Linked DNA regions of Arabidopsis thaliana. The protein of the gene in region 2 interacts with the protein of the main gene of each other region in a pairwise test. Each region holds a gene or a part of one and is shown on either strand. Other genes may lie near its edges. The genes, in order: SNRK2.4 and DPBF2.

Evidence for each region.
Region 1: the proteins of DPBF2 (region 2) and SNRK2.4 interact in a two-hybrid assay, tested with the Arabidopsis thaliana proteins (one large-scale study listed by BioGRID).

What each region holds. Positions count from the first base shown.
Region 1 is NC_003070.9:3,655,211-3,660,660, forward strand, and holds SNRK2.4 (Protein kinase superfamily protein), read right to left. Parts: upstream 3,399-5,450; 5' UTR 2,961-3,398; coding exon 2,841-2,960; intron 2,604-2,840; coding exon 2,529-2,603; intron 2,415-2,528; coding exon 2,313-2,414; intron 2,221-2,312; coding exon 2,197-2,220; intron 2,123-2,196; coding exon 2,069-2,122; intron 1,975-2,068; coding exon 1,882-1,974; intron 1,802-1,881; coding exon 1,709-1,801; intron 1,561-1,708; coding exon 1,456-1,560; intron 1,373-1,455; coding exon 1,274-1,372; intron 1,191-1,273; coding exon 840-1,190; 3' UTR 603-839; downstream 1-602. Other genes in the region: TMN1 (transmembrane nine 1), read left to right, coding at 4,112-4,201, 5,115-5,307, 5,412-5,450.
Region 2 is NC_003074.8:16,078,884-16,083,762, forward strand, and holds DPBF2 (Basic-leucine zipper (bZIP) transcription factor family protein), read right to left. Parts: upstream 3,024-4,879; 5' UTR 2,939-3,023; intron 2,852-2,938; 5' UTR 2,840-2,851; coding exon 2,033-2,839; intron 1,889-2,032; coding exon 1,817-1,888; intron 1,704-1,816; coding exon 1,674-1,703; intron 1,319-1,673; coding exon 1,232-1,318; 3' UTR 549-1,231; downstream 1-548. UniProt on the Arabidopsis thaliana protein: Could participate in abscisic acid-regulated gene expression during seed development.

The DNA.
Region 1 (5,450 bases), on a different chromosome or scaffold from region 2:
CCCACCTATTTCAGAACTTGGAAGACAATAAAATACTCCCAAAAAAAAAAACAGGAAATTGAAGTGAATCGATCAGTCATGAGTCTAAAGGATTAATCTTTACCCATGCGAAACGAAATCCCTAATCGACAACTAAATATTAACACTCGTAGGACGAAGAAACGCAATCGGTGTGAGAAAGAACAAAACGAAAACCCTAAAAATGACTTTGAAACGAAAGCCAGGAAATACATTTTCGATTCAGTGGAGTCTCTTGCTTCTGTAACGTTGCTTTTAACACTCCGGCGGCGAAACAATCAGGGAAGTCGGCGAGACGAAGCACAGGATAAAATGGCCACCACCGACTTGAGCTCAAGGCCGTAGAAGATTATCCGGTTTCCTAATGGCGGGATATTTTCCCTCTAATATATTCACATTTCGCATCAGAAACAAAAAAACAAAAGAAAACAATTATTTTTGAATTCCGAACATTTCAATTTGATTTTTTGTTGACATTTGTATTTTATAGATTTGCATTTTCAAAAAAATGATAAGGAACGAAAAAAAATAAAAATAAGAAATCCAAAAATCAAATACATGAATCTTTTCGGAAAATAAAATCTAATTTACAAAAATATTTATTGGAGGTCACAATGTTCATAGTACCATGCGTAGCAAAGGACTCATTCTCATCATCAACCTCTCTGTTTGTTCATCTTATACTGCAAATTTTACAAATCTCCAAAACCAGAACCAAAACCTTAGCCAAAGCATTGTAAAGGCAAACACGAGAACAGAGACTTTTCAGTTTCAACAAACCAACGACGACTTCTTTCTTACACAGACCAAAAACCAAAATATCAACTTATTCTCACTTCTCCACTTGCGTGTACTTCCTTTACAGTCTTATCGTATTCATCCTCATCGTCTTCCTCTTCTTCCACCTCCTCCTCTTCCTCCTCCACGTCTTCTGCATCTTCCTCTTTTCCATCTGCATCCCCATTTCCTCCCCAGCCAAAACCTCCGATGGATCGGGAAACAGGAGGCGGTGTTTTGGCGTCAGCCACTATCTTCATGATCTCTTCAACGGTCTGAAGGGAGAAGGTTGGGTTCTCTTTCTTGAAATATGCAGCTTGAGCTGTCTCTGTGAGTTCCCTTGGCAAATTCTTTAGGAACCATGAATGTTTCTTGATTTCTGCAATGGTGATCCTCTACGAAACAACAAGTAGCTCAATTGTTCAGAAAAATCAAAAGGCATCTTTGAAAACATTTAGTTCAGTTGATTGATGTATACCTTGAGTGAATTGGCGACAAATATACGGGAAAGGAGATTTTTACAATCCTGTGAGATATGGACGTAGTCCGGGATCTTGTACTGGACAGCCATTATTTTCTGTATAACAAGATCACACATTGACGAATAGGATGTGGCGAAAGCGAGATATGCAGATACATGGCTTCAAAAAAGAAACCTACTTGTATTGTTTTCCTGAAGTTCTTGGGGTCTTCCTGGTCTTCAAATGGGTATGCTCCAACCAGCATGACATAAAGAGTCACACCACAAGACCATACATCAGCCATCTGAAAGAAGAAAAAATGCTTCAAATCTTAGCGACTTCCACAAAGATGACTTTTTAAATTCAAAAGTAAAAATGTAAAGAGCATGACAATATCATAAATACTCATGGGTTTATGGAAGTTCATTGCATTGTGCATGATGCTTGATTACCTTGCCATCATATTCTCTTCGAGAAAGGACCTCAGGTGCAATATATGCTGGAGTTCCAACTGTTGATTTGGGCCTAGAGTGCAGCAGAGAGGACTAAAAAAAAGAGAATAACAAATCACAAAAGAGGATCTCGTCGACAAGGGGGGAACTTGGATTTTTTTTTAGTGTCAGACCTTGGAATAACCAAAATCACAGATTTTCAGACGTGGAGCAGGACTTCCATCCAAGAGCGTATTCTCGAGCTTCAGATCTCTATGGCATATTTGCTGCAACAAAATAGTCAACACATGATTAAAAAAAAACGACTTCAAACAGCCAATGGATAAGTAAATTTTGCTTAAGTCATTGTCTCTACATTACCATAGCATGGCAATAGCTAACACCTGATATAAGCTGCTGGAAGAAATATCTCGCCTGGAAAAGAGAGAAAGGATTAGAACGTAGACCCTAACTGTTTAATGCCTGATACTAAATAAAAGGAGGTTCACATGTTTTCTCTTGTTCCCTTCCTCCTAATCTTTCCAAAGACCATGCAGATTATCCTAAATACTAGTAATTTCATATTCGCAAAAGCACAGCACAATTTTTCAAATGGCAAGCTCACCTCATCCTCACTAAATCTTCCAGCACTGCATATACGCTCGAATAGTTCACCACCAGCAGCATATTCCATGGCAATGGCAAGATGGGTTGGAGTCAACACCACCTATAAAATCCATAAACCCAACAAGGAATGCAAGATGAAAGATATAAGAGATTATCAACAAACTTTTTCATAGCAAGAACACCACCCATGTCAAGCAACAAGAAATTCACTAACCTCCTTGAACCGGATTATATTCGGATGGCGAAGTGATCTGTGATTAATGATCTCTCTTGCCACATTCTCATCAATCTGTATCAAAAAAAACAAACAAAGCAAATACTCATTGTACAAATCTTTTCAGGAAAAATATTACAACTACAAGATAACTAACGTTACGTTAAACACCCAATCAGCTAACGATAAGAAATTTACAAAAAAAAATCGACTCTTCTGCTTAATAGCAATTCATTCCAATTATGCATATCTGGGTATAGGATCACCAGCTCATGGAGAGCAATGAAAACACAAAAACAGAGAGGAATATACCTTAGGACCACGCTCGATGTACTTCATGGCAACAAGTTCCTTAGAGTTTTTGACCTTCATGAGCCTGGCAACTCCAAAATTCCCAGCACCTATGTCTTTCACCAGCTCGTACTTGTCCATTCTCGCTCGACAACCCTAATTCCAAACACACAAAACAGAAAGGAAAAACCCAAACAAAAAAAAAATCTCCAAAATTCTCGTTGAAATTCAAGTCCAGTTCTAGCAGCTAAGAATTTCACGTGAAAATGAAACAAGATTAAAAAAAAAAAAAACAGTATCCCAAAATCAAGGATGCGATTCCGAGATCTCGCGATTCGCAAAGAAAGTGGGAAAAAAAAAGGGAAAGAGATGACGATGGAAGGTTAATTTGAGATTTGGATTGGAGAGATTTCAAGCCTAAGCGAAGAATCAACTTTCTTTTTCTTTTTTTTTTCTTGTTGGAATTTTTCTTTTTTCTTTTTTGGGGTGAAATTAATAGAGAAATAATGATGAGAATGAAGAAGAATCTCCCCTGCCTAAACAAACTCCCATCATGTTTTTTTTTCCATTTATTTAATTAATACGAGATTTTTTAAAAGAAAGAGGGACCCACAAGTTTCCATGCGATCCATACATGTTTGTTTCCCTTGCTGATTCGAGTGTATAACTACGTTTTTTTTTGTCACCAACGCGCTTTTTTTCTCCCTAATTCAACACTTCAACTATACACTATTTACACGACACGAGTGGTCAGCAGCAAGCAAATTCGCCTTAGATTCTTTTGGTTCTATATAGAGAGAGTCATTGTCCATAAATCACATTTTTCTCTATGAAGATTGTCACTCAAACGTAACCTTTTAATGAATTTATGTCATGATTTTCATCTACTTTTAACATTTTTCAACATATATACAAAAAAAGAAGAAGTTATGTTCCCATGTGTGAGTGTATATTTTAATTGAAATGACATAGTTCGTGCGCGTATATGAAAACATTAATAGACCTTATATGGGCCGCTAAACTAATATACACTTGTTAGAACGAAAGGCCCAATCAATTAATAGAGCAAACATTAAAAGACCTTATATGGGTTTTAAACTTAATATACGTTTCTTAGTACTACAAGCCCAATTAATTAATAGAGCAAAAAAGAAGTTGTAAGCCTTATCGTTGTTTTTGTATTACCCAAAATCTCTACAAAGTGAAAACACTGAGCTGAGGATCTCGCTCTCTCTCGATTGGTATCTCTCGCTCCGTCCTTCCTCAGATCTGATCGTCCGCCGGTTTTCACGATGCCGTCTTCCTCCTCCGCCGCCGTCCTCGTGTTCCTTCTTCTCGTTTCCCTTCTCACTCCTACGTTCGCATCCGATTCAGATCACAAGGTAAGACTCGGATCTCCAGTCGTTTTTTCTTTTCTTTTAATGCAGCTCGAAATCGAGCACTGTGTCCGTAGATCCGTGATTTGCATGGTGTTTGCGATTGAATTTTTTTTCATGGATCTGTTCGTTTACGGATTGCTAGGATCCTCGAGCTTCTATTCATTGTGATTTAGGCGTATCTTTTCGTTGCAAGTCTAGGCGTATTTTGTCTATTCATTGTGATTTAGGCTTTTCACAATCTCGATTTTAATAAGAAATTTTGATGTTGGTTTGAGATTCTCGTTGATTTCTGCACGTGGTAGCCTGTTTGATGTTCAAATACTTGGATCAACACTGAGTTGTGTTGTAATTGAGTGGCATTTAATGTATTAGCATCTTCGAGATGTAGATCTTATAGTTCCGAGGTCGGGTTGATGATTTTTTTCAATTGGTATCTAAAATGTGATACTGAAAGTGTCACACATGGCTTCTTTTGCTGATGGTCAGTTTCAGCTCAAAATTGTTATTGCCTTTTGTGATATTGGAGATCATGAGATCTAGCTTTAATGCTTTTGCTCCTCTGCCTTCTTACGCTCGCAAGTAGTGTGACATTTAAAGTCGATTCCAACTATATATTTTCTGCGTGAAAGATGATAGATAAAGGCGGGTTATGCATTATTCAAGAGCAATCTGGTAGCATTATTCAAGAGCCATTATTTCTATGGAACCATCATTTGTGTGAAGACTTTAACTCCTGATTTTTGAAATGATATTGAACGTAGCCTTTATCAGTATCTGTCTGTCTACGTTTGACATTTTGTTCTGTTCTCTCTAATGGAATTTTGGTTCTTACTCTCTCTTACTAGTTAATCCCATAAACTTTTACATTTCTGTGCTTTTCTGTCAAGTCAATTTTTTTTGCCTTCACCTTTTTCAGTATCAAGCCGAGGAGCAGGTCACCCTATGGGTAAACAAAGTTGGCCCATATAACAATCCACAAGAAACATACAACTATTACAGTCTTCCATTTTGCCGCCCATCTGGAAACAATGTTCACAAATGGGGTGGTCTTGGTGAAGTTCTAGGTGGAAATGAGCTGATTGACAGTGAGATTGCGATAAAATTCATGAGTACGTTTCAATTCTTATACAAGCTTCTTTTTCATACTAGTTAACAGTTATCGTACATTCGTACTTATTCTCTAGTTACAATACCTTTTCTGTTTTTTCCACAGAGAATGTCGAGAGAAGTGTCATCTGTCCGCTTGAACTCG
Region 2 (4,879 bases):
GATCCAAGTGTTGTGGGGTGAGATGCTGGTATGGTGCAAGGAAGAACCGTCAATAGATGATCCAATTGTTGTGGGGAGAGATGCACGTCGTGGATGTTGCAACTTTTTTGACATAATAGTTTTTCGGTAACTTTCCAGCCAAATTTCGTTTAAACGGTTAAACGGAATTGTCGGGTTGTTAGTGCAATGGAAGGCTGGTAAAGAGTACTACAAGATGGTATACTCATACGTTAAAAACGAAGTTGTATTGAATGAGAAATAAGGGTGTGAAGTGGGAAACTTGGACCAAACCGGACCGAACCAAATCGAACCGAACTTGGCTGAGCCCGATTGCGGGTTAGCGAATTGTCACGTCGTCGACTCGAGGACTGTCGGGTTTGTGGACCGTTATGCTTGTGAGTTATTGGGCTTGTTGGGTTGAATCTTACGAAAATACTCCATATTCTCAAAATATTCCATATCCTGAGAATATTCTCACAAATCCTACCTCTCTCTACTATATATAAAGAGACCAAGTCTCTCATTATTTCTCACAAACACAAAACACTCTAAGTTTTAAAGTCTCGCTTCTCTCTTGCTTCTTAAAAGTAAGTTTTTATTTTAGTAGTTTCGAAAACATATCGTAGATTAAGTTCGCTTGAGTTATAGTGTGTTTGGGTATTAGTTCGTGATCGGTTGTATCCTGGGATATATAAATCGTGATCGATCATCATGTGTAATAAAATTGTTTCAAAATATCTTTGAAGATAATATAGCAGACGACCAAAACAAAAACAAAAAAAGGTTCAATAACTATAATGTGGTCTTTGTTTTGTGGCTTCTGGAAATGATGTAAGGGCATTTTTCAGAAAATTACTATGTGAGAATCAAGAAGTGGAGATGAAATATTTCCAGCTTGTGTATACAGAAATAATTCGGTATGTTGTATAACATGTGCTTAAAGCAAGTGGTGTATTCTAATATCTTCAAAATTTTCATCTACACTCACAGTCTAACACATGATTAAAATTATCGGATTAAACGATGTAATTTCAGCATCGGAGAAAGATGAAGAAAACATAGAAACTAAATCTGGCGATTATGATTTATGAGTATATATAAAAAGAAATGATCCTATATACACAAATTCCATGTTTGTCTCAAAATATAATATAGATACAAATATTTATGTGTATAGATAGAAACGATCAATAAAATATCATATGTAAATTACACAAACTCTCATATCTATTTACCACCCGGCACTGGCCATCCTCCGAATCTTTCTCAATTTGTCTCCGCTCTTCTCTTTAGTCACTTGTTTGCTTCTACTTATTATCTGCATGCCATTTCATTAATTTATTTTATTTATATTTTTAACCACAGAGATCAACTTCTTTCTTTTAAAAAACTAAAATTATATAAACTTTATGGTCGCTAAATTGTGAAGTAGAAGATCACTTGAAAAAATCAATTTCTATCTTAATTTATAATGAAAGTTCATACTTCAAATAAAAACCACTAACCCATCACAGCTTAGTTATTAACTTATTATCATTTAAGCTATATTTGTTAGATAACGATATTGTCAACTTTGAATCCAACAATATCACACATAAATCCAAAATGATGTATTTTGATAATTCATATTCGTTAAGTAACCGTTTTAGTACATATGGAAATTGGAGTATTACCTCTTGTCTTCTTTTCTTCTCATTTTCCTCCTAGCAAAAAGTATTAAATTGAAAATGGTTACTAGGATATTGTTTTCCAAATATGAATCATAGCTTAATAGCTTATATTAGTCGTTATAAATAATGTTTTATCAAGAAATTACCACAATTTCCTTCAGCTTCGTGTTTTCTTCCGTGAGGTTGTTCAATTCCAACTCCAGTTCCACAGTATAAGCCTATAAAGAGTGAAACCCAAATTAGTCTCTAACTCTAACTTGGCCAAAAAAAATAAATTTTCAAACCGGATTTAACCAATGGCCCCTATAGTCATGTTATACAAAACACAGTTCCTATATATTGTGGTCCAAACTCCGACTTACTTGTCTCCGGGCTCGAGACCGAGCCGCAGATTCGCGGTTTTTAATCATTCGCCGTTGTCTCCGCTCCATCAAAATTTCAGGTGGACCATCAATTATCCGTTTCTTGATCCGAAAAGCATCTAAACCGGTCAGATACTGATTACTCCTCCCATTCCCGGTCATACAGCTTGAAGATTCTCCCAAAACCGAGTAAAACGGTCGGTTTTCACTATAAACCGACCGGTTATCACCATAATTGTTTTGGTTCTGACAATGTAAACCAACTCCAAACTCGGGGTTATAACCAAAATCAGAACTCGACATCCTCATCGTTGTCTTCAACGGTTCTTGTACAACACCAGCCTTAACAAGAAAATCCTCGAGAGTGATCTCACCAAGGGTTTGTTGCCGGCGAATATTTTCGGCGGAGTTTTGACCGGAATTCGACGACGGTGGATGTTGTTGTACACCGTTTTGTATCTCGAGCCAAACCTCGTCGACCGTTTTCTTGCATAAAGGCACAGGGAGGGACAACGACCCTTGACGTGGCAGCACCGCCGGCTTCTCTCCGTCGTTGTGAGCCCCACCTCCTTCGTTGTCGTTTTCTTCAACGGTTGTCCACAAGTTCGCTAGGAACTCGTCCATGTTCATCGCTCCAAAGCTCTTACCGCTTTTCATCTGAATTTCGTCAAGAGTTAGTGACAAAATCGAGTTCTGTCTCCCTACCGGTTCCTCCTCCGACAGAAACGTTTGCATTTGCGGTTGCGTTTGGATTTCGTGGTTGTTGTAGACGTGGAAGTTCGAAGTCTCCGATTCGAAAACCGACATCGTTTGGTAGACCTATAAATCTTGAAATATTAACATGCATTCATATATCAATCTAAGATTTAAAGAGTATAAAAGTGACTTAAAAAGATTATTTGTTACCTTGAAAAAAATGTGTAATAAAGATGAAGAAGAACAAAGGAAAATAGTTAAGGATTGTGTCAGTGTAAACTGATACTTTTAAAATGAAGAAGAGGCGGAGTTTACTATGGTGTATATATATGCATGCATGCGAGTATTTTTTTATTGGAGCAATGAAAAAGAGTGTAACTGCCAGAGCAAAAATAAAATAACATAAAATGTTTTGATATTTATTAATGTGGTACGTCGAATCTGGATTCTATAATTCTCCTTTTCGTTTGTTGATTGACACGTTCATGACACTTGTCTTAGATTTCCTGCTAAAATTCTTCTTGCGAAATTTTATCTTACTTTTACTCGTATACGGATTTTTACCTCGCAGCTAATTGGCCAATCATATCATGGATAAAATTACATTGTCAACATTTGTTTGAATGTCAAAAGATAACACAATAGTTTATATGTTGTACACGTTTTCGAAATGTTTTTTCACAAATATTTATTGTATACGCATGAAATATCTTCTAGAAGTTATTTTATATTATAAGCGTTTTCTTAAAGCTACAAAACCTTAATACATACAACAAATAAAATTATAAGTATTGAGTAATAAATGCTGCTTGCTTTTCACATATGCTGCAACTATTTTTATACTAGATTATGTCGGAGCAACAATGTGCAGACGTATATATTGTTTAATTATTAAAATATAAAATAAATTAGAAACATGTTGTTGTAGTGTTGAAGACTGTTAACGATAATTAATCCAAATTTTTGAATCAGTTTTTAAGTTTTTAAATTTCTTTTTTTTATGAACAATGAAATTAAATGGTATTTTGCAATATTTTTAAATAATTTTCTAGTTTTAAAATATCGTAACGGCTGATTCACATATTTAACTCGATATCTGCCATCTGTTGTATACGTTAAAATAAATAAATATTATAAAGTAATAGTTATTCGAACTCGTGTGAATACAATATTAGAAATCCGAGATGCGAACAGGTTGGATAGTTAATTCAATATAGTGGCTGCTAGGGTTATGCGGCATCTCTCCGAGCTTCGTCATGCCAAGCTTCGTTACGGCGAGCTTTGTCTTATTTCATGAAAATTGATCTAGATCTAAGATTTGTTTTCATTAGACCAAATATATGAAAGTTTTACACAGAATATTTGTGCGCATAAATTCTACCCCAATTATATGTTTAATATATGAGTAGGTAAGTTTTTCAATATTTTCAAATTAGGTAGCCAAAAAATTAATATGACTAATTTTATCTTATTTTCGTCCTTATCTTGATAAATTTATTAAATATCTTTCATATTTAATGTCTTATTATTTTATTTAACTCATATTGTTGACAAAAAAGTATTTAATTCAAGTTTTATAAGTATATATAATTTGATTTATTCCGTGTTTTCTTTCATTTTTTCTCTTTTTCTTCTATTTCTTGTTTATGTAATTTTAAGGCGGATTGTTTAGCTATATTCTCTACACTTTTTGTTTCTGAAGTTACTTTTGTACACTCTTTTAATTTCCTCTCGTGGAGTTAATTAGTATGGTTTAAAACAAAATAGAAAAGAAAAATCTATGTAATTAATTAATTATTTTTTAAAAAAATCAATAATCATTTAAATTCTCAGTTTTTCCTCCAAAATTCTTCTAGAAATTACCTTTAATTTATGTGCAATTGAGCTAAATTTAAATTCATTTATTTTCAGCCATAACAAGCATAGTTTAGGCAAGAAGAAAATAAATTATCATCATTGATTTTTCATACAATTTTAATACTAGGAGGCCAAACAAGACAATTTCAAGTTTGCGGTTGTGAACTAGATATATATATATATATATATATATTTTTGGTCTTCATTTTTCTAGACACTTCTCAAGTTATTTGTAGCATTTCGGGTATAAGACTTGGATTGCTATCTACCCCTTTTATAAACTGAAACTCAAAC